Saccharomyces cerevisiae S288C: one gene and its partners. Changing the gene in region 1 together with any one later gene gives a genetic interaction. Each region holds a gene or a part of one and is shown in the gene's direction. Other genes may lie near its edges.

Region 1 (9,926 bases):
TGACCATTCCAACTTTAGTAGGGTCTTCAGCTGGGCCTGCATCCTCTAGTTTTGTCACTAACGGCCTTCCGTTAGCTAGATTCGCTGTAGATGCATTGCCATCCAAACCGTTAGCTGCACTAGTTGAACCATTTGACAGTCCATTACTTTCAACGGCGGATACAGTAGTAGGACTAGCAGGAGGGACAGAAGAGCCAGTTACAGTAGGAATGGAGGAGTTCACACCGTTGGCCGTGTTGTCTTTAGTAACTGAATCAACAGTAGGTGTCTGAGACCCATCTTTAACAGTATTATTGAGCGAGACCGTTCCTGATTTATTCATACCACCCGAGTTAGGAGTACTTCTTTCTTGCTCTGCTTTTTTTTTATACTCAGAAATTTCTTTTTGCCTTTGAACAATTTCTGCTCTTGTTAGCTGAAACTGCAAGTTTCTCGTATCCTTCCTATGCAGTCTTACGGGAAGATGGAAGTCTGTTACAGGGTTTATCTTTTTTTTACTCTGAAACTTCAAAAGATGTGTCCTCATGTTTTCTAAATCCTCCTTTGGAATAGCTCTTAAGGGAAATTCATTATATTCATTAGGATCTTCGTCCTTTACTTTAACATTGCTCCTGCCAGCATCGGCCTCGACACCGATTTGCAAAAGCATTTTCTCTCTCTCTTCAGCATACTCAGGATCATCCTTTTTGACAAGAGATCCCCTGCTGTTGTCTCCATTTGGTACGCCTGGGGAACTAGAATTGCTGCCGTTTTGACCCATTCTCATCCTCAGGAAATTTCTTCTCATTCTGTCTCTTTTAATGAAGGGAGAGGCATTCGTCGGACCTCCCCCGTTTCTACTGCCTGGTGGATTGCGTCTGGACATCCTTGCGCTTACTCGAATAGGCCTCCCTAGCTATTCTTCAACCTTTCGAACCATCCATACTTCTTACTATCATAATTTTTATTTTATCATGGAGGCGAGAAGGTCCTTATTCGAGCATCACTAAGAACGGAACTCGAACATTTACAAAGTAGAAAAATTTTATGAAAATTAATTGTTCTTTCTTCAGAATACAAATTAGTCATTGTCAAAAAGAGATTAGCATCCATAACCGCATACTCTAATTGACGATAACATGTCCTCTGCTGCCACGGTTGACCCTAATGAGGCGTTCGGTCTCATTACCAAGAACTTGCAAGAAGTCTTGAACCCACAAATCATCAAAGATGTTCTCGAAGTACAAAAGAGACATTTGAAATTATACTGGGGTACCGCGCCCACTGGAAGACCTCATTGTGGTTATTTTGTTCCTATGACCAAGCTTGCTGATTTCTTGAAAGCAGGTTGTGAAGTGACTGTTCTTTTAGCAGACTTGCACGCCTTTTTGGACAACATGAAGGCGCCATTGGAAGTGGTGAACTATAGGGCCAAATACTATGAATTGACCATCAAAGCTATCTTGAGAAGCATCAATGTTCCAATTGAAAAGCTAAAATTTGTTGTTGGCTCTTCTTACCAGCTAACTCCAGACTATACCATGGATATCTTTAGATTATCCAACATTGTTTCACAAAACGATGCTAAAAGGGCAGGCGCTGATGTTGTCAAGCAAGTCGCCAATCCATTATTGAGTGGGCTTATCTATCCTTTAATGCAAGCGTTGGACGAACAATTCTTAGATGTTGATTGCCAATTTGGTGGTGTCGACCAGAGAAAAATTTTTGTCTTAGCGGAAGAAAATTTACCAAGTTTGGGCTACAAGAAAAGAGCACATTTAATGAACCCTATGGTTCCAGGTTTGGCTCAAGGTGGTAAAATGTCTGCCTCTGATCCGAATTCAAAAATCGACCTTTTGGAAGAACCAAAGCAAGTTAAGAAAAAGATCAATAGTGCATTTTGTAGCCCCGGTAACGTCGAAGAGAATGGTTTACTGTCATTTGTCCAATATGTCATTGCACCAATCCAAGAATTGAAGTTTGGTACAAATCACTTCGAATTCTTCATTGATAGACCAGAAAAGTTCGGTGGTCCAATTACCTACAAATCCTTCGAAGAAATGAAATTGGCTTTTAAAGAAGAAAAATTGTCCCCACCTGATCTAAAAATTGGTGTTGCTGACGCTATCAACGAGCTATTGGAGCCAATCAGACAAGAATTTGCCAACAACAAGGAATTTCAAGAGGCCTCCGAAAAGGGTTATCCAGTTGCCACACCACAAAAGTCGAAAAAGGCTAAGAAACCAAAGAATAAGGGTACTAAGTACCCAGGCGCTACTAAGACCAACGAGATTGCCACGAAACTAGAGGAAACCAAATTGTAAGCATAGCTTAATCCGTTTTCACGATTCATAATATAATAAATAAGAAAAGATATATCATATAAACGTTATAAAATTAATAACCGGGTAAGTGTAGAAAAGTGATGCGACGGTTTATTTTCTCTTCCTCTTGCGATTGAATTTAACTTGCAGATAGTGACCATAAGGCAACTACCCAGTGGCAAACAGTTTTGATAACGCCCAGTACATCAACGAGCGAGTATAAAGACTTTGGTACATTTTAAAAAGGAAACATATATTGTTTTCATTGCTAGACCCTTTTAGTCTCACCTCAATAAAACTGCTTTATTCCTCATTGGGCTTTTTATTCTTTAATTTTGCATACTTATAGCGTGAAACTGGGCATTTAACAAAAGCAAACTATTTTAATAGTAGCATCCTGCTTTCTTTGCCCCTCCTTCTTATTGCGATACATTATTAAGTTTTTTTACCACCTTTCTTCCTTTTTCTTCGCATCTTCGGACAAAGGCAGTTGAAGTTTACTGTATCCTATTAGTTGACTATTTTCTCTCACTGAAGTCCCTAATCTTTACAGGTCACACAAATTACATAGAACATTCCAATATGTCCGTTGCTGATGATGATTTAGGATCTTTACAAGGTCACATTAGGAGAACACTGAGGTCTATTCATAACCTCCCCTATTTTAGGTATACGAGAGGTCCTACTGAAAGGGCTGACATGAGCAGAGCCCTTAAAGAGTTCATTTACAGATATCTATACTTTGTCATTTCTAACAGCGGAGAGAACTTACCTACTTTATTCAATGCTCATCCAAAACAAAAATTATCTAACCCAGAGCTTACTGTTTTTCCTGACAGTTTAGAAGATGCTGTGGATATTGATAAGATAACATCTCAACAAACTATTCCGTTTTATAAGATAGATGAATCCAGAATAGGAGACGTCCATAAACATACCGGAAGAAATTGTGGGAGGAAATTCAAAATAGGGGAACCCTTGTATAGGTGTCATGAGTGTGGTTGCGATGATACTTGTGTGCTTTGTATTCATTGTTTTAATCCAAAAGATCATGTGAATCATCATGTTTGTACCGATATATGTACTGAATTCACTAGTGGAATTTGTGACTGTGGAGATGAAGAAGCTTGGAATTCTCCACTTCATTGCAAAGCTGAAGAACAAGAAAACGATATATCGGAAGATCCCGCCACAAATGCCGACATAAAGGAAGAAGATGTATGGAATGATTCAGTGAATATAGCATTAGTGGAGTTGGTTCTTGCAGAAGTGTTTGACTATTTTATCGATGTTTTTAACCAGAATATCGAACCTCTACCCACAATACAGAAAGATATCACTATCAAATTAAGAGAGATGACACAACAGGGAAAAATGTATGAAAGAGCGCAGTTTTTAAACGATTTAAAATATGAAAACGATTATATGTTTGACGGAACAACAACAGCAAAGACGAGCCCCTCTAATAGCCCTGAGGCATCTCCATCGCTTGCGAAAATCGATCCCGAAAATTACACGGTAATAATATATAACGATGAATATCATAACTATTCGCAGGCTACGACTGCCTTGAGACAGGGGGTTCCAGATAACGTACACATTGATCTATTAACATCCAGGATTGACGGAGAAGGTCGAGCAATGTTGAAATGTTCACAAGATTTATCATCTGTCTTAGGTGGTTTTTTTGCTGTTCAAACGAATGGATTAAGTGCCACTTTAACATCGTGGTCAGAATATCTTCATCAAGAAACATGCAAGTATATCATCCTTTGGATTACACACTGTTTAAACATACCAAACTCCTCCTTCCAAACCACTTTTAGGAACATGATGGGTAAAACCCTGTGTTCAGAATACTTAAATGCAACAGAATGTCGTGATATGACACCGGTGGTGGAGAAATATTTCAGCAACAAGTTCGATAAGAATGATCCCTACAGATACATCGATTTATCTATCCTTGCAGATGGCAATCAAATTCCTTTGGGTCATCACAAAATTCTACCCGAATCAAGCACCCATTCACTTTCACCATTGATAAATGATGTAGAAACTCCAACATCAAGAACATATTCTAATACAAGATTACAACATATTCTTTATTTTGATAACAGATATTGGAAAAGACTGAGAAAAGATATTCAGAATGTGATCATTCCAACGTTGGCCTCTTCAAATTTATACAAGCCCATTTTCTGTCAACAGGTAGTCGAAATATTCAACCACATCACAAGATCTGTGGCATATATGGATAGAGAACCTCAGCTAACAGCTATAAGAGAGTGTGTCGTACAGTTATTTACATGCCCTACGAATGCCAAAAATATTTTCGAAAACCAAAGTTTTTTGGATATTGTGTGGTCAATTATAGACATTTTTAAGGAGTTTTGTAAGGTGGAAGGTGGTGTATTGATCTGGCAGAGAGTTCAAAAAAGCAATTTAACAAAGAGTTACAGTATATCATTCAAGCAAGGGTTGTATACAGTTGAAACTTTATTGAGTAAGGTACATGATCCTAATATTCCATTGAGACCTAAGGAAATAATATCTCTATTAACTCTTTGCAAGCTCTTCAATGGAGCGTGGAAGATAAAGCGTAAAGAAGGTGAACATGTTCTTCACGAAGATCAAAATTTCATCTCCTATTTAGAATATACCACCTCCATTTACAGTATTATTCAAACAGCGGAAAAAGTTAGCGAAAAATCAAAAGATTCCATTGATTCAAAGCTTTTTTTAAATGCAATAAGAATTATCAGTTCATTTCTAGGCAATAGATCACTAACATACAAGTTAATATATGATTCTCATGAAGTCATTAAGTTTAGCGTAAGCCACGAAAGAGTTGCATTTATGAATCCTTTACAAACAATGCTTTCATTCCTTATCGAAAAAGTGTCTTTAAAGGATGCATACGAAGCGTTAGAAGACTGTTCAGATTTTCTGAAAATATCGGATTTCTCTTTGAGATCAGTTGTATTGTGCTCTCAAATTGACGTCGGGTTTTGGGTAAGAAATGGTATGTCTGTGTTACATCAAGCATCGTATTATAAAAACAATCCCGAATTAGGTTCCTATTCCAGAGATATACATTTGAATCAGTTAGCTATCCTTTGGGAACGTGATGACATTCCGAGAATAATATACAATATTCTTGATAGATGGGAATTACTAGACTGGTTTACAGGTGAAGTTGACTATCAACACACTGTCTATGAGGATAAAATTTCATTCATCATTCAACAATTCATTGCCTTTATTTATCAAATATTGACCGAAAGACAATATTTTAAAACTTTCTCTTCTCTAAAGGATAGAAGAATGGATCAAATCAAAAATTCAATCATTTATAACCTTTACATGAAACCCCTTTCGTATTCAAAGCTACTAAGATCAGTTCCTGACTACCTAACTGAAGATACTACCGAGTTTGACGAAGCACTTGAAGAAGTCTCTGTTTTCGTTGAGCCTAAGGGCTTGGCCGACAATGGTGTTTTTAAATTAAAAGCAAGCTTGTATGCAAAGGTTGATCCGTTAAAGTTGCTGAATTTGGAAAACGAATTCGAAAGTAGTGCAACTATTATTAAATCACATTTGGCTAAGGATAAGGATGAAATAGCAAAAGTTGTACTAATACCCCAAGTCTCAATAAAACAGTTAGATAAAGACGCTCTCAATCTGGGTGCTTTTACAAGGAATACGGTATTTGCCAAAGTGGTCTATAAACTACTCCAGGTATGTCTGGATATGGAGGATAGCACTTTCCTGAATGAGCTACTACATTTAGTTCATGGTATATTCAGGGATGATGAATTGATAAATGGTAAGGACTCTATACCAGAAGCTTATTTGTCAAAGCCTATATGTAATTTACTCTTGAGCATAGCCAATGCTAAATCAGACGTATTTTCCGAGAGTATTGTCCGTAAAGCCGACTATTTGTTAGAGAAGATGATAATGAAAAAACCAAATGAACTTTTTGAGTCATTAATTGCCAGTTTTGGCAACCAATACGTTAATGATTATAAGGATAAGAAACTACGCCAAGGAGTTAACTTACAAGAGACAGAGAAGGAACGAAAAAGAAGATTGGCCAAGAAACATCAAGCAAGGCTTCTAGCCAAGTTTAACAATCAACAAACGAAATTCATGAAAGAACATGAGTCTGAATTTGATGAGCAGGATAACGATGTTGACATGGTCGGTGAAAAAGTATATGAATCGGAGGATTTTACCTGCGCACTATGTCAAGATTCCAGTTCGACCGATTTTTTTGTGATACCTGCGTACCATGATCATTCCCCGATATTTAGACCTGGTAATATTTTTAACCCAAATGAATTTATGCCCATGTGGGATGGTTTCTACAACGATGATGAAAAACAAGCTTATATTGACGATGATGTTTTAGAGGCTTTGAAGGAAAACGGTAGTTGTGGATCTAGGAAAGTATTTGTATCCTGTAATCATCACATTCATCATAACTGCTTCAAGAGGTACGTTCAAAAAAAGAGATTTTCATCAAACGCGTTTATATGTCCTTTATGCCAAACATTTTCGAATTGTACTTTACCTCTTTGTCAAACCTCAAAGGCAAATACTGGTTTGTCGCTAGATATGTTTTTGGAATCAGAACTTTCTTTGGATACATTGTCAAGGCTCTTCAAACCTTTTACTGAGGAAAATTATCGTACAATAAACTCTATATTTTCGTTGATGATATCTCAGTGTCAAGGTTTTGATAAAGCGGTAAGAAAGCGGGCCAACTTTTCGCATAAGGACGTTTCTTTAATATTAAGTGTGCACTGGGCAAATACCATTTCAATGTTAGAAATTGCTTCTAGGTTAGAAAAGCCATACAGTATTTCATTTTTCAGAAGCAGGGAACAGAAATACAAAACTTTAAAAAATATATTAGTCTGCATTATGCTGTTCACCTTTGTCATAGGCAAGCCAAGTATGGAGTTTGAACCGTACCCGCAGCAGCCCGATACTGTTTGGAACCAAAATCAACTCTTCCAATATATTGTTCGAAGCGCTTTATTTTCTCCAGTTTCACTTCGTCAGACTGTTACAGAGGCGTTAACAACGTTCTCTAGACAGTTTCTAAGAGATTTTCTTCAGGGTCTTTCTGATGCAGAACAGGTTACCAAATTGTATGCTAAAGCGTCCAAAATTGGGGATGTTCTTAAAGTAAGTGAGCAGATGCTCTTCGCCCTAAGGACCATATCTGATGTACGAATGGAGGGATTGGACTCCGAAAGTATTATTTATGATCTAGCTTATACCTTCCTGTTGAAGAGTCTTCTTCCTACGATAAGAAGGTGCTTAGTCTTTATCAAAGTGCTACACGAATTAGTGAAAGATTCTGAAAATGAAACGCTGGTCATCAACGGTCATGAGGTTGAAGAAGAACTGGAATTCGAAGATACCGCCGAGTTTGTCAATAAGGCATTGAAAATGATTACTGAAAAAGAATCCTTAGTCGATCTTTTGACAACGCAGGAGTCCATTGTATCGCATCCATATTTGGAGAACATCCCATATGAATATTGTGGGATTATAAAACTGATAGATTTATCAAAATATTTGAATACTTACGTTACCCAATCTAAGGAAATCAAGCTACGTGAAGAGCGTTCTCAGCATATGAAGAATGCGGATAATCGATTAGATTTCAAAATATGTTTGACATGTGGTGTCAAAGTGCATTTAAGAGCGGACCGCCATGAAATGACCAAGCATTTGAATAAAAATTGTTTTAAACCATTTGGCGCCTTCCTGATGCCCAATTCAAGTGAAGTTTGTCTCCATTTGACACAGCCTCCTTCTAATATTTTTATATCTGCACCATATCTAAATTCGCATGGTGAAGTTGGTAGAAATGCCATGAGAAGAGGTGATTTAACCACCTTGAATTTGAAAAGATATGAGCACTTAAACAGATTATGGATTAACAATGAAATTCCAGGTTATATTAGTAGAGTAATGGGTGACGAATTTCGAGTGACTATACTTTCCAATGGTTTCTTGTTTGCATTTAATAGAGAACCAAGGCCAAGAAGAATACCTCCAACAGATGAAGATGATGAAGATATGGAAGAGGGAGAAGACGGGTTTTTTACGGAGGGAAATGACGAAATGGATGTTGATGATGAAACTGGACAGGCCGCCAACTTATTTGGGGTTGGCGCAGAAGGTATTGCTGGTGGCGGAGTACGTGATTTTTTCCAATTCTTCGAAAACTTTAGGAACACTCTACAACCGCAGGGAAATGGCGATGATGATGCACCTCAGAATCCCCCACCAATATTGCAGTTCTTAGGACCTCAATTTGATGGAGCTACTATCATAAGAAATACAAATCCAAGAAACCTCGATGAGGATGACTCTGATGATAATGATGACTCTGATGAGCGAGAGATTTGGTAGATTCAAGCCCTCTACTATGTTTTATAGTTGACATATTTGTATATAAAAACTTATACATTATTAAACATTTGCGCGTCGATTGACTTTTATTTATTATTAACAAAGAAGTAATACCAACCTAATTACAAATACTTCGAAGTGACTATCATAAGTTTCCTTATCTAGCGAAGGCAACTTTTGAACTCCCCAGTTGTTAATATGTATCATTATACACGACCCAATCAAACGCGGGGAAGTCAATGCCGAAAGAATTCTAGGACCTAAAAGCTGCTCAATCCTTGGGCCTTTCCCTAATGACATCCCCTCTCAAACTTTAGCTTAGCAGTTGTATTTAATGTCCTGTCACGGATAGTCAATAATCGTTGAAGGTTGATTTTCATATCCTTCGCAATTTCGTAAAGCAACAATAGCAATACGGACTAAAATGGTATGTTGGTGTGTGTGTGTGCTGCTTCACATTTCAGGCTAAAAATGTTATCCGTGGAATCTTCCTTAGCCAAGTATCATGGGCTTTGGAAATTAGTTTCCCACCGATGAGCGCAACGACTTAGCGAAGCTTATGAAATTGGTGACAGCAGCTCTATGAATATGTTCCATGCGTTTCCATTCAGGTTACTAACAATGCATAAATTATGAGTAGTCTTTTTCATCACTATATAAAACCTTTTTCAAACGAAACGCTGTTTTTGTTGGTACTATCTTTGCAGGTGCCTTTGTTTTCCAAACTGTATTTGATACTGCTATTACTTCATGGTACGAGAATCACAACAAAGGAAAATTATGGAAAGATGTCAAGGCTCGAATAGCTGCAGGCGATGGAGACGACGATGATGAGTAAACGCTGATTATGTCACACATATACGTGCAAACGCTCTCTCTCTCTCTCAAGCTATATAAGTGGCACTCGTCTTATTTATTATTTTTTTATTTTGGCTGGTTGTTCATGTTCAACCCAACCTCATAAAGGCACTCAACTTCATATTTTGACACAAATCTATGTCTCGCCAAAGCGCATTCAAATTTCAGAATGGAAATAGACACGAACGAGCCTGTCTGTCAGATGTTCACAAAATCCTTATTATAATTTTATATTCTACTAAAGGAAAAAGAGAATTAGGAAAAAGAATAACTCATTTTATGTATATACATATATTTTGTACATATCTATACCAAGCAAGTATAGTGCAA
Region 2 (5,651 bases), on another chromosome or scaffold:
ATACTACATCAACACACTTGCTCAACATATACTATTCCCCTCTAGGCAAGTTTTAGACATGACATATGAGTTAATACAATTCATGTGGGACACTAGAGATAAACAACTGATATGGCACAAAAACAAACCTACCGAGCCAGATAATAAACTAGTCGCAATAAGTGATGCTTCATATGGTAACCAACCATATTACAAGTCACAAATTGGCAACATATATTTACTTAATGGAAAGGTAATTGGAGGAAAGTCCACCAAGGCTTCATTAACATGTACTTCAACTACGGAAGCAGAAATACACGCGATAAGTGAATCTGTCCCATTATTAAATAACCTCAGTCACCTTGTGCAAGAACTTAACAAGAAACCAATTACTAAAGGATTACTAACCGACAGTAAATCTACAATCAGTATAATTATATCCAATAATGAAGAGAAATTTAGAAACAGATTTTTTGGTACTAAAGCAATGAGACTAAGAGATGAAGTATCAGGAAATCATCTGCACGTATGCTATATCGAAACCAAAAAGAATATTGCAGACGTAATGACCAAACCTCTTCCGATAAAAACATTCAAACTATTAACAAACAAATGGATTCATTAGATCTATTACATTATGGGTGGTATGTTGGAATAAAAATCCACTATCGTCTATCAACTAATAGTTATATTATCAATATATTATCATATACGGTGTTAAGATGATGACATAAGTTATGAGAAGCTGTCATCGATGTTAGAGGAAGCTGAAACGCAAGGATTGATAATGTAATAGGATCAATGAATATAAACATATAAAACGGAATGAGGAATAATCGTAATATTAGTATGTAGAAATATAGATTCCATTTTGAGGATTCCTATATCCTCGAGGAGAACTTCTAGTATATTCTGTATACCTAATATTATAGCCTTTATCAACAATGGAATCCCAACAATTATCTAATTACCCACATATTTCTCAAATCTCCTATATTACGATCTATTCTTTAGTCTAAATGTTACCAATCGTTATCCTTTTTTATCATCAATCCGTGCGTTTCAGTTGCTTTTAAATTTGATAACGCATTCTTATCATTTATGTCATTTTATTACATCATATATGATAATATTCCGTCACCTTGAATACTCATCAAGAAACGATAAGTTGTTGTAATTTAACAGTAACTCTGCATATAATTCAACAGGTAAAAACTAACTTTTATATCCTTGAACTTCTTCATTTTTGTGTCTTTCATTGAAAGTATAATTTTCCTTTTTTTTTTTTGGTTTTCAATACATATAATGATGGGTGACATTTTTTGTGTCATTTAGATTAAAAGAAATTTTAAGAAAAATTGACGTATTTAATTTTGATCCGCAGTAAACGCTATAAATTCTTTTTAATATAAATGACAGCTTTTTATACATATAGACCCTTTGAAGAATATTCCAAACTAGAAAGGTTGATCAGAAATGAGTTATAGTGTCAACACGTTTACAGATTACGTTTTATTGTTTGGATCATCTAGTTTAGTAGGAAAAGGTATTTTAGAGAACCTGTTGGACATAAATTTATATATTAAAAATGTTTCGGACCTACAAGGCAAGCTTGATAGCTTAAGTGAAATAAAGGGAAATGTCGTTCTCAATAAACATGTCTTTTGTGTTAATAGAAGGTGCATCAATGAGGAGAAATCATTTATGAAGACCATTGATTATATAAATATGAGATCAGTTACTTGGCAAGGTGGCAGATATTACTTGAGAAGCAGGAAAGAAAAAGACACTGAAAAAGTACCGTCTAGTCCTAATACTTTTTGTTATGATAATTTTGAAGAAGGATTTATTAAAAATACGCCTGAAGAGAGGGGAAAAGATGGTTATTCTTTTGTTTATAATCAGAAACAGTTCAGTTACACACTACATTATGCATGCGGAAAGGAAAAAGGTATTGAGATCATTTGTAATTTTACTGTAACGCAATTGATCATCCCCAGATCTGAAACTTGGCCAAAATTGCTTCCACGGATATTCTCAGGAACACAAAAGCTGGAAAAGTTTGACATTGACAACAAAAATTACGTTCCCGGTAGAAGTTTGCCTAGTCTGTGTGATATTAGCACTATGGTGTGCTCTTTGGGCTCCACCTCAGCTAGAGTGCGGAGAACTCAGGTACCAAGTTCCTTTGCTGACTATTACTTACCTTTTAATTTAGCACAAGAATTCACGAATACAACTAACAAAAGGTTGGTGGTTACAACTGCCTTTAATAATGATTTTCTTAGTAAAACTTTCGAGTATTTTAGAATAAAAGCTAAATTAGAAAATGACTTGGATGAAGCTTTGCCAAATAAGCTAAAGGAGCTAGTTATTTTGAGGCCAGGTCCGATGTGTGGACAGCACGGAAATCCTATAAACGTTGAATTGGGTAAAGAAAACTCCACTTTCTTGGAAAAAATTTTTTATTATCCTCACTATCTTTTAGTTTATAAAAAGAAATATATCAGTGAGGCCAGAAGGATTGGCTTAAGAACAAAGTTAAGCGAAATAATTGCTTCCAGTATATATAGGATGCCAGGATCTGCATTATTAGGATACGCTGTCCCAGTTTCAAAGGTTTCTTATGTTGCCTCTTTGATGGCGATTGAAAGGAAAAGTAAAGAGGCGGGACCTAAGCTGGAAGTAATTAGCAGTTATCAAATTGATATGATTGTGTGAACAGTCAGTCTTTTCTTTTGATAGATGCGAAGTTATTAAATAAATAGTAGCCTAATACATAAAAGAACCACTATATCATGGATTCGATACCTGGGCCGTCTTAAATTTTTATCGCATTGAATATGCAAACTTTATGTATTGTTTTACTAATCGCCAGTAATGGCCGACCAATTCTATGATAGATCTTCCCTAAGTTTATAATGATGGTAAGAAAACGCGCATATTTCAAAACTGAAGAAAAAACAAACAAAAGCCATATGGATAATGAGGGGAAAATGTGATTTCTTTACTTGAGCAATTCTTTCAAACTATCAGTAACGCTCCTGGCAATGAGTAGAATCGATGATTTACAGCAGGACATTGAATCTTTACTCAGTGAAAGTATGTGATTTTGAGGCTGTAACAATTTTCTTTCTTTTAAAAAAATGATTAAGTTGAACACTAACATAGTAGAATCTTCACAGTCAATTCATTAGAAGAAAGTCGTGAGAAGCTCAAAGCGAAGATAAAAGATAAAAGAAAAAATGAGGAGAGCGCTAATCCTATAGTACAAGAATTTGAAGATCTATTCGATCAATTCCCACAGTTGAATAATTTTTTATTTAATGAGCATCCAGAATTGGAAGAGACAGATGACAAGGACATATCAAGGGCGCAAGCGGATATACCAGCAACGCCAATACCGTATGAACCAAAGAAAAGAGCTAAGCTGGAGAATGAGGAAATTTTACCAGAACAAGAATGGGTTTTAAAGACCCAGCCAATGGTTCAGCATCAAATGTTTGATCCTGGGGTGGCAGATTTATTGGATACAGACATTCTAACGTCACCTTCAAAAAGAAAGCGAAAACTAAAAATAGACGATATTAGTACAAGTGATAGAAGTGAGTTGGAAGATTATATTGTCCTGGAAAATGTTTATAGAATGTTTGGTATAACATTTTTCCCTCTTGTGGACCCTATTGACCTTAAGATAAAAGATGCTAGCGGTGAAATATTTGTTGATAGAGAAATGCTGGGAATACGACTGGAAGTCTTCAGCGAACGGACATCCCAATTTGAAAAACCTCACTATGTATTGTTGAAAAAGAGGATCAAATCGAATAGTTGGTTCCTGTTCAAGCATACAATCCCGAGTTTCATTGATGTCCAAGGTATATTTGATGACACCAATGGGGGACTAGTGATATCTCATGATGACGCCTATTTATTTGCTAAAAGAGTCTTCCTGCAACTTGTGGAAGTACAGAAAAGACGACAGATTTTTAAGGACTTAGAAGCTAAGAAGATAATCCACGACTTAGATTTAGATTTAGAATCTTCAATGGTTTCGTTTTTTGTGAAGGATATTAAAGTCGAGTTGTTTGTAAAACAAAATGAAATAGTTTCATGTTCAATATTGGACGATATTCATGATTTTAGTCAAAATAATAAAAGTAAATGGGAAATTGCATTGCTCGGTTCTTTGGATGATTTGGAATTAAAATTAAACCATTCTTTCGCGACAATATTCAAGTGAATGTTAACAAAAATATACTTTATAGAAAGAGGATAGAGCTAATTTTCTCTGTTTATCATAGATATAAGTAATTGTGTAGTATCCCAATTTTGGGTAGAATGTGGTATATGAAAACAGGGCATATGAAACCCATAAGGCAACCTAACACTTTTTCCAAGATAGTATGATAATAAATAGCGGTAACCCAGAGAATACATATCCAAATTACTAGGACAGCGCAAACAATGGCAAGGCAAGCTCGTACCCACTTATTCACAACCCAAAACATATCTTCAGCTTGAACAAATCTACTGAATAAGTGAAGTTCCATCCAAAGAATCATGCTTATACTCACAAGAAAGCAGAAGTGTCCACTAATGTCAAACCCACCATCCCATTTCCCATTTTCTAGACGGCACTTTTCAGCTGATGTCGTTTTACTACCAGAACTGCATTCTCCCCCTGTCCAAATGAAAACATGATCGATAAATTGGAAATTCAAAAACAATAATAGATATTTTAGAACGAACTTGCAAGCATATTGAGTGATCATAATACTGATTATTCTATTTTTGAGCAGAGGCCAATGGTTAGTATATGTTAAATAGGAAGAGCTAGTTTCGGTACTTGATATTGGTAAAGGCAATATATCCATTCTTGCTAGATAGTGGAAGTATATTTGCAGAAAAGCCAAACTAAAGAATAAAAATGGCCACAGTTGGTTCGCTTTGTATGCAAAAATAACATTGAAAATATTGGACGATTTCAATAGAGCGCATGTCTCTTTTTGATGGTTTAATGTTTCTGAAGATACTACTATTGATAATAATGCGCCTACAAAAACTTGAAAGGGGTAAATGAGATACGCCTTCCTTGACCAATAATTGAGCTGACGTATCATAATCTTTTTCAATTTTTAGTCGTTCAGTGGTTTTAATACAATGCCCTATTTCTATTGTGTTTTAACATTGTGATATTTTGAATTTTTTTTTTTTTTTTGCAGATTGTTTTTCATATTAATCAAATTGGGTGCCACTTGTAAGTCAATAAATGAAACTAAGCCTTTCCATACTTTTTCCTAACGCGCTTTGAAGAATTTGTTTTCCTATATATATTTGTATAAAGTACATATCAAAAACAACTGAGCGAAGCAGGCACACAAGGGAAATCAGTTAATGTCATTCTGCAGTTTGAACTTATCCCAAGCAATACTTAAAGTACTGAAAATATTCTCTGCAATCATCTTATTTTCCAGGGACAAGGACTCTGGTATCTTATCAGGATGTGTCTTGGCTACAGCTTTCATGTATGTAATTTTGACCCTCTTAGGCATAACCAAATCTTGCATAGAGACATCCTTCCAATTGCACCATGTTAGTAAGCTGGATAAATTTGCTAACAGATGACGAATGTCATCGTCTTTGCCATCCTTCCAGGAGCTAATTTTCTCAAA
Region 3 (8,200 bases), on another chromosome or scaffold:
TTGTTGACGTTCATATGAAGAGAAAAATTTGCAGGGAATGGGCCTCTAACACTGTAAAAAAAGAAAAATAAATAAGATACTGAAAACTAGAGCTAGAACTTATAATTTCATACATATATACATATCAAGATCTAATAAGAGGATTAGCTAGATTTTGAGCATAAATTCGATAGCGAATCTACTCGAACATCGTAACTGCACAAAATAAGGCGTCAGGTGACCAGGCACCTCTTCTATTTACACCAACACAGACGCCTTTCATAGAGGAATAGAAAGCTATATTAGAATCACCAATAATGCAAGCGTCTCCTGTGTTCTATAACGTGAACCATAAGCTTGAGTGGTTTCAAAAGGATTACGGGGCGGATAGTATCTTTTGCGTCTTCGTTGGATAGTTTGTTATTAAGATACATAAATACACACTAAATTTAGTGGTAAAATCTTCTATTCAATATTATCGAGAGTCTCGGTTTGAGGGCTAACACTCTAATGGATAACCGTTCGGAATATTTCTATTCCAGTTTACATAGTATAAGTACGATATTCATCCTCATGTTAGCGTAAGTGGAACTTGTTCAAATCATCCTGAGGTACAGACAAGCCCTTATTGATGATTCATTCTGTTATTTCAGGAACAGGTAATAGTTCTCCACCACTTGAACGCCCATGCTAGTTGTAAGGTGCCGTATAAAGGCAGTTATGATATCATGTATGCGTTTATTATAAGTATTATCGCCTGCAGAAATAACAAAAGTGACACATATTGGTACAGGTACTAAACCGATGCTAACCGTACTAAAACAATTTACCACCCGGCTCGAGTTTTTTATTCTTCACAAACTTTTTCTGCATTTAATTGTGATGAATAACGAATAACTATTTCCTTGATCACCTCAGTAATCGCGAAACGTGCATTTGTGGTAGCAACAGTTTTAATGACAGTAGCATAGCCTATTGCACCTCCACATGAAGAAGCTACCAGTCCACCGCCAGAAATAGACAAAATGGTAACATCGCTTACATTAATTAGCCCTAATACAAAAGGTTGCCATTTGCTAATTTGTTTTGGTCGTCGAAAACCATTTGTGTCGTCGTTAACCTTTCCATTTATTATTCCAGCAATAAGAGCAAACCCCAATGAGACAGTACAAGCTGTAAGGGGAACATGCCCTATTACCAGCCCAAATGACCAATTGACTAACCAATCACCACACACACCCGCAGCTGTGTTGCGTGCGACGTTACCCAATGTTATGGTAATGGCTTGCTATATACTGACTCGTTCAGGTGAATAGAGAAAACCCGTATCACCGTAAACCCATCAGTGACCGTTTTAATTACCACAGCTGTTGCTAGCGAGTAAAAACCCTTTTCACCACTGGTATATAATATGTTCATCGTAAACAACCAATTGGCAACTATCCGGGAGGTCACGGCTGCGCTGCATACTTTTAAAACAGCTTGACGTGGATTAGACCAATTCACCATACGTTTGGAAAACATACTGGCCATTATCCAAGGTGTAAGTATAACGTCAAAGCTGCAATCAACTGTAGAATCTCTTCCTAACACATTTCTATATAACGCAACCAACATTATCATTGGAAATGGCATACAAACAACGCGTCTGAATAACCTTGCATCGTCCATGTTATTGCCTTTTCTACACCACGCAGCACCTCTTTAATGCAGCAGCCGTCACTATTTGCATTGACGCATGTCTTCATCCTTGAATGCCTGGCGATAGTATAGGTAAATTAGTTAAATACAGCTTTGAGTAATTAGGCATGTACTTCCTCTGATTTAGTGACAGGTTCAATTGTTAAAGTATTCCCATTAGGCCAAGTTAAAAAGCGAAATTTATTTTGTTTTACAGATTTCCATTGAGTTTTTATGCCTAAGGGCGTGTTTTTTCAGCTCGTAAAATCATGAAGTTGTAGCACGCTGGCTCACCATGACAATTCCAATGGTGCGGTTCAATCAATTCACTGAGGTAGAATGGTGGACCATGATATTCAGAAATAGGTAAGTCCTGAGGTAATGATTAGGATTTAACTGTTGACTCTATTATAAGGTATACAGAATATACTGGCATAAAACAAGGATCATTAACACGCTAAACAGGGTGTTGTTTAATATCATGAATGCGCAAATAAGCCCTTTTTGCTGCAGCAAACTTTATGTACCAAGATCTTAAAGGGACTCGTTACCAAGATGCGAGTGAGTAGTCTATTATTAGAGAGTAGATCAGCTTCCGCCGCTTCCTTTTTTAACGGGAAAAAAAGTAGAAGCTGGGACAACTTTTTCGCTGCCAATAATAATTAAAAAGAAGGACCCTTTTTTCATTATAGGTATATTTGTTAAATATTTCCATTCCTAAGACAATCAACAACGCAGTTATGCAAACCATCAAAGAGGGCAAATGAACTATTCCCGCTCTTCGTAAGGATGCTGTATTACCGCCGTTAGCCATCAGAATTACTATAAAAACAATGCGGTTAATTTTCATTGCGAAAATGCTTCAATATTCATTTCTACCATTTTCCCCGTTCAATCTTTTGAATTTTGATAATAGTATAAGCGTAAGCTGGTTTATAACATACTCAGTGATCGTTTCCATTTGGGGGTTTGCTGTGTGGATTGAAGGAGCATATAGGAATAAGATTAATCTACAGCTTCCAAGATGTACGAAGATAAAATGCTCCCGCTACAATACGAGAATAAAATCCCCCAAGTGGTTCAACTGTAAAAATTGGATGCATTTTTTCCTATTATACCTTTTTCTAACCGCTTCTAACTTAATTGTTCAATTGGCCTATTTTTCAAAAGAAATGTGTAGTCAGGGTATAAACGTTCCTGGAACGAAGAAACCAGGTAATAGAGTTTATTTATCGGTTATCATACTAATGGGGAACGGGTGATAGAACTTTTACCAATGAAAAGAAATCAGCAGGCCATAATTTGGCTTTATTAAAATTAATAACATTATGGTGCTGTTGCGTTTATTAAAACAGACTAAAGCTGTTGGAATGAAATTCTAATGTTATCTATTTAGTAGTAATAGCATCACATGCGGTGTAAGAGGATGGCGTAAATTATGAGAAGCTGTCATCGAGGTTAGAGGAAGCTGAAATACAAAAATTGATAATGTAATAGGAGAATGAAACATATAAAACGGAATGAGGAATAATCGTAATATTAGTATATAGAAATATAGATTCCATTATGAGGATTCCTAGATCCTCGAGGAGAACTTCTAGTATATTCCGTATACATAATATTATAAGCCTTTATCAACAATGGAACCCCCAACAATTATCTCAAAATTCACCCATATCTTAATTAGTAACATGAATAGTACTAAACAGATGATATTTTAAAGTTTCATTCCAACAAGCATCTTAAATGTGCTATTACTTCCTAAAATAAGTAGTTTTTCCAACGAAATAGCCTTGTTGGCGCAATCGGTAGCGCGTATGACTCTTAATCATAAGGTTAGGGGTTCGAGCCCCCTACAGGGCTATCTTTTTACCATTTTCAATTCAATAGAAAAATTAAATCATTAGAGACGGAAAACTGGTTGAAAACGCATCGATTGAGGACATTGAAAAGATGATTATGACCGATCTATGAAGCCATAAGATTACGTTAAGAATAGTTCTTTGTTACTGATTTCAAAAACTGTTTTTTTAGCCAAGAGTACCACTAATTGAATCAAAGAGACTAGAAGTGTGAAAGTCATGGATGTTGATTCTGACGTTAATGTCTCCAGGTTAAGAGATGAACTGCATAAGGTGGCAAACGAGGAAACAGATACCGCCACTTTCAATGATGATGCGCCATCCGGCGCCACCTGCCGTATTTGTCGTGGAGAAGCTACTGAGGACAATCCTCTTTTCCATCCTTGTAAATGCAGGGGCTCAATTAAATACATGCATGAATCCTGTCTGTTGGAATGGGTAGCTTCAAAAAATATAGACATTTCAAAACCAGGCGCGGATGTTAAATGTGACATCTGTCACTATCCCATTCAATTCAAAACGATATATGCGGAAAACATGCCCGAAAAGATACCTTTTTCTTTACTACTATCCAAGAGCATCTTGACATTTTTCGAAAAAGCTCGTTTGGCTTTAACGATTGGTTTGGCCGCTGTACTATATATTATCGGTGTTCCTTTGGTATGGAACATGTTTGGAAAATTATACACCATGATGCTAGATGGATCATCCCCTTATCCTGGTGATTTCCTAAAGAGTTTGATTTATGGTTATGATCAGTCAGCAACTCCAGAATTAACCACGAGAGCAATTTTTTACCAACTTTTACAAAACCATTCGTTTACGTCTTTACAATTTATTATGATAGTGATACTACATATAGCATTGTACTTTCAATACGATATGATAGTAAGAGAGGATGTTTTCAGTAAAATGGTTTTCCACAAGATAGGTCCAAGATTATCTCCCAAGGACTTGAAATCACGTTTGAAGGAAAGATTCCCCATGATGGATGATAGAATGGTTGAATATTTAGCGAGGGAAATGAGAGCTCATGACGAAAATCGTCAAGAGCAAGGTCATGATAGACTGAACATGCCAGCCGCAGCAGCAGATAATAATAATAATGTTATTAATCCCAGAAACGATAACGTTCCACCTCAGGATCCTAATGACCATCGGAATTTTGAAAACCTTCGCCACGTAGACGAATTAGATCATGATGAGGCTACGGAAGAGCACGAGAACAACGACTCTGACAATAGTTTACCATCAGGTGATGATTCGTCACGAATTTTACCGGGGTCTTCAAGTGACAACGAAGAAGATGAAGAAGCAGAGGGGCAACAGCAACAGCAGCAACCAGAAGAAGAGGCAGATTACCGTGATCATATAGAGCCCAATCCGATTGACATGTGGGCAAATCGTCGTGCGCAAAATGAATTTGATGACCTAATCGCTGCTCAACAGAACGCAATAAACAGGCCCAACGCTCCGGTTTTCATCCCACCACCTGCCCAAAACAGAGCTGGAAATGTCGATCAAGACGAACAAGACTTTGGCGCAGCTGTTGGTGTGCCACCAGCACAGGCTAACCCAGACGATCAAGGACAAGGCCCTCTAGTGATAAATCTCAAATTGAAATTGTTGAATGTCATTGCTTATTTCATAATTGCCGTAGTTTTCACCGCAATATACCTGGCAATTTCCTATTTGTTTCCAACTTTTATTGGGTTCGGTTTGTTGAAAATTTATTTTGGTATATTTAAGGTTATTTTGCGTGGGTTGTGCCATCTTTACTACTTGTCTGGCGCTCATATAGCTTACAATGGGCTGACGAAACTGGTCCCTAAAGTAGATGTCGCGATGAGTTGGATTTCAGACCACTTAATTCATGACATCATTTATCTTTACAACGGCTACACTGAAAACACCATGAAGCACTCAATTTTCATCAGAGCTTTACCTGCTTTAACGACGTATCTAACCTCAGTCAGTATCGTTTGTGCTTCATCCAATCTTGTCTCGAGGGGTTATGGCCGTGAGAACGGAATGAGCAACCCTACTAGAAGGCTGATTTTCCAGATTTTATTTGCACTCAAATGCACTTTCAAGGTGTTCACTTTATTTTTCATCGAATTGGCTGGATTCCCCATTCTAGCTGGTGTAATGCTAGATTTCTCATTATTTTGCCCAATCCTGGCATCCAATAGTCGGATGCTTTGGGTTCCTTCAATATGCGCAATATGGCCTCCATTTTCCCTTTTCGTATACTGGACGATTGGTACTCTCTACATGTATTGGTTTGCCAAATATATCGGAATGATTAGGAAAAATATCATTAGACCAGGTGTTCTATTCTTTATCAGATCTCCAGAAGATCCTAATATTAAGATCTTGCATGATAGTTTAATTCATCCGATGAGTATTCAATTATCAAGGCTTTGCTTATCCATGTTTATTTATGCGATTTTTATTGTCTTAGGTTTTGGCTTCCATACTAGAATTTTTTTCCCATTCATGCTCAAATCGAACTTATTATCCGTTCCTGAAGCTTATAAACCAACATCAATTATTTCATGGAAGTTCAATACAATTTTGCTAACTTTATATTTTACGAAGAGGATCCTGGAGTCTAGCTCTTACGTTAAACCCTTATTGGAAAGGTATTGGAAAACAATTTTTAAGTTATGTTCAAGAAAATTACGTTTATCATCCTTTATCTTAGGTAAAGATACCCCAACAGAGAGAGGCCATATTGTTTACCGCAATTTGTTTTACAAGTACATTGCTGCCAAGAATGCAGAATGGTCAAACCAAGAACTTTTCACTAAACCAAAGACTCTAGAACAAGCAGAAGAATTGTTTGGGCAAGTTCGTGACGTTCATGCTTATTTTGTCCCCGATGGCGTTTTAATGCGTGTTCCTTCTTCTGATATAGTATCCAGAAATTATGTACAAACAATGTTTGTCCCCGTTACAAAGGATGATAAGCTGTTGAAACCATTAGATTTGGAAAGAATTAAAGAGAGAAACAAACGTGCTGCTGGTGAATTTGGTTATTTAGACGAACAAAACACGGAATATGATCAATATTATATCGTTTACGTCCCTCCAGATTTCCGTTTACGCTATATGACATTGCTTGGCCTGGTTTGGTTATTTGCTTCCATTTTAATGCTTGGTGTTACATTTATTAGTCAAGCTTTAATAAACTTTGTTTGTAGTTTCGGCTTTCTTCCAGTCGTAAAGCTATTGTTAGGTGAAAGAAATAAGGTCTATGTTGCATGGAAGGAACTCTCTGACATTAGCTACTCCTATTTGAACATTTATTATGTCTGTGTCGGATCTGTTTGTTTATCCAAGATTGCTAAGGATATTCTTCATTTTACAGAAGGCCAAAACACTCTCGATGAACATGCCGTTGACGAAAACGAAGTAGAGGAAGTGGAACACGATATACCAGAGAGAGATATCAACAATGCCCCTGTTAATAATATCAATAATGTGGAAGAGGGTCAAGGAATTTTCATGGCCATCTTTAACAGTATATTTGATAGTATGTTGGTGAAGTATAACCTGATGGTGTTTATAGCTATCATGATTGCGGTTATTAGAACTATGGTTTCGTGGGTCGTCTTAACCGATGGTATACTAGCCTGTTACAATTATCTCACCATCAGAGTGTTTGGCAATTCTTCATACACTATTGGTAATTCCAAATGGTTTAAATATGACGAGAGTTTGTTATTCGTCGTTTGGATCATTTCGTCAATGGTCAATTTCGGAACCGGATATAAGTCATTGAAACTATTTTTCAGAAACAGAAATACTAGTAAATTGAACTTCTTGAAAACAATGGCTTTGGAACTGTTTAAACAAGGTTTCCTGCACATGGTAATTTACGTCTTGCCGATTATTATTTTATCCTTAGTATTTTTACGTGATGTTTCTACAAAGCAGATTATCGATATTAGCCATGGATCCAGGAGTTTCACTTTATCGCTTAACGAATCATTCCCAACATGGACAAGGATGCAAGATATTTATTTCGGACTACTGATAGCATTAGAGTCATTTACGTTCTTTTTCCAAGCAACTGTGCTGTTCATTCAATGGTTCAAAAGTACTGTACAGAATGTAAAAGACGAGGTTTACACTAAGGGTAGAGCTTTAGAAAATTTACCAGATGAAAGTTAAAGGCGTTTTCTTCCTTACATTTAAAATGAATGCTAGCATATTTACATATATATATCTACATTAAGTTATATGTTTTTCCACTGTTTTATTTCTTATTGTTAGAATTATAGAAAAAAAATTTTTGTAAAACATTTCATTAGAAAAATTTACCATTCTGAATACGAAAGAACAAAATAAAAAATATGCCTATTTATGTGAGTATGTATATTACTAGTTATTTTATTGCTGTTACTATTATTATGCGAGAATGTTAAAAAAATAAAAATAAAGAGGAAAAGAATAAAAAATATAAAACTATGCGTGCGAGTGCTTTCAAGGGTCTTCATCTTCCAAGAGTATAGGATTATCTCTGCCCTCATCCCAAACAGAATCTTGAGACTGGTTATTTTCATCTCCATAATTAGAGAGAAGTTGTGCATTTGATCCCTTGCTTGTCGCGCTGGTTCTTGGAATACCCCTAGTTGGACTACTAAATGCCACATCATCAATATCAACCAACT
Region 4 (6,426 bases), on another chromosome or scaffold:
TTTTTATACCTGTTAAATGAAAATCGAAAAAAAAGAAAAAGAAAAAAGTTTTTCAGCACTTCTCTACGGGTAATCCTCGTATTTGAAGGTTTAGGGCTATTCTTGAAATTTTTCACTAAAATTTTCCAACTGAGAAAAAAAAAAGTGTATTACGGTTTTGATGAGATGAGATGAGATGTAATTATCATCCTCTATTGCCATGAAGAGAGATCTATTAAAAAGAAACGTCAAAGAATATGGTATTGCTTATATCAGAAATTAAAGATATTGCCAAGAGGCTGACTGCTGCGGGTGACAGAAAGCAGTACAACTCCATTATCAAGTTAATCAATGAACTAGTGATTCCAGAAAATGTTACTCAATTGGAAGAAGATGAGACAGAAAAAAATTTGAGATTTCTGGTTATGTCGCTATTCCAGATATTTAGAAAGCTGTTTTCCCGCGGCGACTTGACCCTTCCTTCGTCCAAAAAGAGCACATTAGAGAAGGAACAGTTTGTTAATTGGTGTAGAAAGGTGTATGAAGCGTTCAAGACGAAGCTGTTAGCTATCATTTCGGACATACCTTTCGAAACATCACTTGGGTTAGATTCGCTTGATGTCTATCTTCAACTTGCAGAGCTGGAATCAACTCATTTTGCATCTGAAAAGGGCGCACCATTTTTCCCCAATAAAACATTCAGAAAGTTAATCATCGCCCTATGGTCCTCGAACATGGGTGAAATAGAGGATGTCAAAAGCTCGGGTGCGTCTGAAAATTTAATCATAGTAGAATTCACGGAAAAATATTATACGAAATTTGCAGATATTCAATACTACTTTCAATCAGAATTTAACCAACTATTAGAGGATCCAGCCTACCAGGACTTGCTTTTGAAAAACGTTGGTAAATGGTTAGCTTTAGTAAATCATGACAAACATTGCTCTAGTGTTGATGCAGATTTAGAGATCTTTGTACCAAATCCCCCACAAGCCATAGAGAACGAGTCCAAATTCAAGTCCAATTTCGAGAAAAATTGGTTATCCCTTTTAAACGGCCAATTGTCTTTACAGCAGTATAAGTCTATTCTGTTAATTTTGCATAAGAGAATAATACCTCATTTCCACACTCCAACTAAACTAATGGATTTCCTTACTGATTCCTACAATTTGCAAAGCTCTAATAAAAACGCCGGTGTTGTTCCGATCTTGGCTCTGAATGGCCTTTTTGAATTGATGAAAAGATTCAACTTGGAATATCCAAATTTTTATATGAAACTTTATCAAATTATAAATCCAGACTTAATGCATGTTAAATACAGAGCAAGATTTTTCAGGTTAATGGACGTATTTTTGTCATCAACACATTTATCCGCCCATTTAGTAGCATCTTTCATCAAAAAGCTAGCCAGACTCACCCTAGAATCACCACCCTCTGCTATTGTCACCGTGATTCCCTTCATCTATAATTTAATCAGGAAACATCCGAATTGTATGATTATGCTGCACAACCCAGCCTTCATTTCCAACCCATTCCAGACACCTGACCAAGTGGCGAACTTGAAAACTCTGAAAGAAAACTATGTAGATCCCTTCGATGTTCATGAATCGGACCCTGAGTTAACTCATGCACTGGATTCCTCTCTGTGGGAGCTGGCGTCATTGATGGAACATTATCATCCTAATGTAGCCACGTTGGCGAAGATATTTGCTCAACCATTTAAGAAGCTAAGTTATAACATGGAAGATTTCTTAGACTGGAACTATGATTCTTTGCTCAATGCAGAATCTTCAAGAAAGTTGAAGACACTTCCTACGTTAGAATTTGAGGCTTTCACAAACGTTTTTGATAATGAAGACGGCGATAGCGAAGCGTCATCCCAAGGTAACGTCTACTTGCCTGGGGTAGCATGGTGAAAGCGAAGATGAACAACGAAGTTTTAAAAGTGTGTATATATACATTTATATCAACAGAGTCATCGATTTCCCTTGTTTGAGATGTAAAAAAAAAAAAAAATAGAAAATAGTAAGTCCCTGTTATCAATTTTGCCTAGGAAAAAAACCTGGGTCAAAAATAAATGGTCTCTAGCGGGATCGAACCGCTGATCCCCGCGTTATTAGCACGGTGCCTTAACCAACTGGGCCAAGAGACCATTCTATTGTTGAAGATTGTTTAATTTAGATAAACTTTCATAATGTTGAGAATTGCTTATTGCGATATATAAAGTTGAACCAAAGATCAATTTCTTTTTATGTATTGTAGAGAATTACAATTTGAAAAAGAGCTAAGGGAAATTGCTATATTCTAAAAGAAGTGCACAAGTACATTACCTTGAATTTTTATATTTATTCATGATATATTAATATTAATATATCGATGGTGAAGGACACCACACCTGTATTTCTTTGATTGAAAACAATTTTGTAACATTGGCTGCAAAAGTTTTTGCAATTGATATGAAACTATATGATAATATAGAATGCAAACAAAATTCAATTGCAAGGAGGAGGGAAGATATAGGGCCCCTTTCTCGCTTGACATAGACTAAATAATATACAGTTTTTATTTCTTTATTTTTTTTCTTCTTTTGACATGAACATGTTGATTATTCATTGTCGCTTCCTGCGGCAGCTTTAACTAAATCCAAAAATTTTTCTTTGGAAACTTCAGTGATCAATTCTTTCTTTTCTTCTTTATTCTTAATTTCGCTTAAATTTTCGGATACTTCCTTTTCTGTCTTGACTTGAGTTGCTAAAATGGCGTTAAATAATTTCACGGCACCTTTTTGAGCTATCTTTCTGAGCGCTGTCTCCTTCTCAAGGACTTTTCTAATATTTTCTGACCTGTCTTCTCCGGAAGCAATTGGAATAATATCCGTCTTTCTGGCTTTACCTAATAACTTTTTTTTTTCTGCCAACAATGCTTTTTTGGCCTTGTATTCTAGCTTTTCTGACTCACTTTGCTTCAGCACCTTTTTGTTTCTAGCCATGATGGGGTCCTTCCTGTCGTATGCTTTCAGATGTGATGATAAAATAGCATTTACTGCAGCAGAAAATCCAGTAGAACCATCATCATGTTTGCTGTTTTTCGATTTTTTCTTTCTTGGGAAGTCGTCGTCCTCTTCTTCTTCATCATCATCTTCTTCAGCATCACTTTGTTCGTTATCTATAATTTTAGATGATTCATCGCTAGAGCTATTCTGCTCGTCTTCTTCGGCTTCATCACCTTCCATTATTGTATCTTTTTCCGGCTCATTACTTAACTCTTGGTTGCCACTATTCCTTTTTTCACGCCCAAATTCTGCATTCTTTCTGGTTCTTTTCTTATCCTTAGTGTCTACTCTGTGCTTGGAGCCCATGATCAATTATGTACTGATTTTCCTTCGGCTTCTCTATCGCTTTATTCATAGCATCTGTTTATTACCTTTCCTTATATCTTATGGGCATCGAATCCTAGATTTTTTTCTTTCAAAATTTTCCAATAAGAGGGTAATGGAGATACACCAAAATGAATCTCAAACAAAATCAAAACAAACACTGTTTACAATTTGATGCGCCTCGAATCAAAATATGATGATGAGTATTACAGCTAAAAAAATTATCGAATATTATATAAGCATTAAAGCTATCAATTTTTCCGCTCTTTGTGTTTCTTATTATTCTATTTGAATATACCAGAACAACTATCCGGAGTCTTTGTTTAAAAAAGGTAGATTTTGAAATAAAGGACTTAGAGAAATTCTGGCAACTATTAAACTATGGAATCACTTCCACGTACTCCCACAAAAGGCAGATCTACGCAGCATCTCTCGACACCATCGCCGAAGAATGATATTTTAGCTATGAATGGCCACAAAAGAAGAAATACAACAACTCCACCGCCTAAGCACACTCTTCTGAAGCCGCAACGTACGGATATTCATAGACACTCATTAGCTAGTCAGAGTCGCATATCCATGTCACCTAATCGCGAGCTTTTAAAGAATTATAAAGGTACAGCAAATTTGATTTATGGAAACCAGAAAAGCAACTCCGGTGTAACTTCCTTTTATAAAGAAAATGTTAATGAACTCAATAGAACACAAGCAATCTTATTTGAGAAAAAGGCAACACTAGATTTACTCAAAGATGAACTAACAGAAACGAAAGAGAAAATCAATGCCGTTAATCTCAAATTTGAAACCCTTCGTGAAGAAAAGATAAAAATTGAACAGCAACTGAATTTGAAAAACAATGAACTTATCTCGATTAAAGAAGAATTTTTGTCAAAGAAGCAGTTCATGAATGAAGGACATGAAATACATTTAAAGCAGCTAGCGGCATCTAATAAAAAAGAGCTGAAACAAATGGAAAATGAATACAAAACAAAAATTGAGAAATTGAAATTTATGAAGATTAAACAGTTTGAAAATGAAAGAGCGTCGCTTTTAGATAAAATAGAAGAGGTAAGAAATAAAATCACCATGAACCCTTCCACTTTACAGGAAATGTTGAACGATGTTGAACAAAAGCATATGCTTGAAAAAGAAGAATGGCTTACAGAGTACCAATCGCAGTGGAAAAAGGATATAGAGCTGAATAATAAACATATGCAAGAAATCGAAAGCATAAAAAAGGAAATCGAAAATACATTAAAACCTGAGTTGGCAGAAAAAAAGAAGCTCTTAACAGAAAAGCGTAACGCGTATGAAGCTATCAAAGTAAAAGTTAAAGAAAAGGAAGAGGAAACTACAAGGCTGAGAGATGAGGTGGCATTAAAACAGAAAACTAATTTAGAAACTTTGGAAAAGATCAAAGAACTTGAGGAATATATAAAAGACACTGAACTGGGTATGAAGGAGTTGAATGAAATTCTGATTAAAGAGGAAACGGTTAGACGCACATTGCATAATGAGTTACAAGAGTTAAGAGGAAATATACGAGTTTATTGTAGGATTCGTCCAGCTCTAAAAAATTTGGAAAATTCTGATACTAGCCTTATTAATGTTAATGAATTTGATGACAATAGTGGTGTTCAATCTATGGAAGTGACGAAAATACAAAACACAGCGCAAGTGCATGAATTCAAATTTGATAAAATATTTGATCAACAGGATACAAATGTGGATGTTTTTAAAGAAGTTGGTCAGTTAGTGCAAAGTTCATTAGATGGATATAATGTTTGTATCTTCGCATACGGACAAACAGGATCTGGGAAAACTTTCACGATGTTAAATCCAGGTGATGGTATCATTCCGTCCACAATATCTCATATATTTAACTGGATCAATAAATTAAAGACAAAAGGATGGGATTATAAAGTTAACTGCGAATTCATTGAGATCTACAACGAGAACATCGTAGACTTATTGAGAAGTGATAATAATAATAAAGAAGACACAAGCATTGGCTTAAAGCACGAAATACGTCATGATCAGGAAACTAAGACTACCACGATAACGAATGTTACGAGTTGCAAGCTTGAGTCGGAAGAAATGGTGGAAATAATCCTGAAAAAAGCAAATAAATTAAGATCCACCGCTAGCACAGCATCAAATGAGCATTCCTCCCGTTCACACAGTATTTTCATAATTCATTTGTCTGGATCAAATGCAAAAACTGGAGCACACTCGTATGGCACACTAAATCTTGTTGATTTGGCCGGTTCCGAAAGAATAAATGTCTCTCAAGTTGTAGGGGATAGATTAAGAGAAACACAAAATATAAATAAATCTTTAAGTTGCTTAGGTGACGTTATTCATGCTTTAGGTCAGCCTGATAGTACCAAAAGACATATACCGTTCAGGAACTCAAAACTGACATACCTACTGCAATATTCACTCACTGGGGATTCGAAAACATTAATGTTTGTAAACATTTCACCAAGCTCCTCTCATATTAATGAGACTCTCAATTCGTTAAGATTTGCGTCTAAAGTGAATTCTACCAGATTGGTTAGTAGAAAATGAGGTCAAGGCCTTTTCTGGTCTTTTTCACTCCTTTGACAAATGACAGAGACTGTCCATACATTCATCACATGTAACTATATTATATATGAAACTCATTTTAATGCGCACAGATAAAAAGCAAAGTAAGTAATGAATATTTGTTATGTAAAAATGACCTCATACATGCTAGTATTTACACGAATTTAATTGCTTAAATTTCAATCATCCTTACCCTTTGGTTTACCCTCTGGAGGCAGAAACTTTTGCATCCTCCTTATTGCCCAATTTTCGCCAATGACTTTAACATCTGGGTCCGATTTACCTTCCGTGGTGTTGAACCGCTTCCACCATGAGGGGGATTTGAACCTAGGGTCTTCGCGTGGTAATTTGCGAACTTCATTTCTAATTTCAGCAACATGGGCTCTCAGTTCAGCGGCTAATCTGCTTCTTAAATCTTGCGCCTCTTTACCATATTTCAATTCGTCAGAGAGGTCGTTAGGATTTTTGGGATCATAGTATTT

Evidence for each region.
Region 2: mutations in UBR1 (region 1) and MCM21 together harm fitness more than expected from each alone (negative genetic interaction), as found in Saccharomyces cerevisiae (4 studies listed by BioGRID, with this or other methods).
Region 3: of UBR1 (region 1) and SSM4, changing one enhances a phenotype caused by changing the other (phenotypic enhancement), as found in Saccharomyces cerevisiae (6 studies listed by BioGRID, with this or other methods).
Region 4: mutations in UBR1 (region 1) and KAR3 together harm fitness more than expected from each alone (negative genetic interaction), as found in Saccharomyces cerevisiae (3 studies listed by BioGRID).

Annotation. Positions count from the first base shown.
Region 1 is NC_001139.9:858,713-868,638, reverse strand, and holds UBR1 (E3 ubiquitin-protein ligase UBR1), read left to right. Parts: upstream 1-2,885; coding exon 2,886-8,738; downstream 8,739-9,926. Other genes in the region: transcription factor IIF subunit TFG1, read right to left, coding at 1-865; tyrosine--tRNA ligase TYS1, read left to right, coding at 1,119-2,303; QCR9 (ubiquinol--cytochrome-c reductase subunit 9), read left to right, coding at 9,163-9,165, 9,379-9,576. UniProt on the Saccharomyces cerevisiae protein: Ubiquitin ligase protein which is a component of the N-end rule pathway. Recognizes and binds to proteins bearing specific N-terminal residues that are destabilizing according to the N-end rule, leading to their ubiquitination and subsequent degradation.
Region 2 is NC_001136.10:1,100,729-1,106,379, forward strand, and holds MCM21 (Mcm21p), read left to right. Parts: upstream 1-3,029; coding exon 3,030-3,081; intron 3,082-3,164; coding exon 3,165-4,219; downstream 4,220-5,651. Other genes in the region: HIM1 (Him1p), read left to right, coding at 1,456-2,700; YFT2 (Yft2p), read right to left, coding at 4,275-5,099; auxilin-like protein SWA2, read right to left, coding at 5,367-5,651. UniProt on the Saccharomyces cerevisiae protein: Component of the kinetochore, a multiprotein complex that assembles on centromeric DNA and attaches chromosomes to spindle microtubules, mediating chromosome segregation and sister chromatid segregation during meiosis and mitosis.
Region 3 is NC_001141.2:295,550-303,749, reverse strand, and holds SSM4 (E3 ubiquitin-protein ligase SSM4), read left to right. Parts: upstream 1-3,740; coding exon 3,741-7,700; downstream 7,701-8,200. Other genes in the region: EMC5 (Emc5p), read left to right, coding at 1-71; EMA17 (Ema17p), read left to right, coding at 2,493-2,921; SUMO protease ULP2, read right to left, coding at 8,013-8,200. UniProt on the Saccharomyces cerevisiae protein: E3 ubiquitin-protein ligase which accepts ubiquitin specifically from endoplasmic reticulum-associated UBC6 and UBC7 E2 ligases, and transfers it to substrates promoting their degradation.
Region 4 is NC_001148.4:815,234-821,659, reverse strand, and holds KAR3 (Kar3p), read left to right. Parts: upstream 1-3,736; coding exon 3,737-5,926; downstream 5,927-6,426. Other genes in the region: ribosome biosynthesis protein NOC4, read left to right, coding at 237-1,895; rRNA-processing protein RRP15, read right to left, coding at 2,585-3,337; TAZ1 (lysophosphatidylcholine acyltransferase), read right to left, coding at 6,124-6,426. UniProt on the Saccharomyces cerevisiae protein: Minus end-directed microtubule (MT) motor involved in spindle midzone assembly, poleward transport of newly captured kinetochores along the lateral side of MTs, karyogamy (nuclear fusion) during mating, and with an essential function in meiosis I.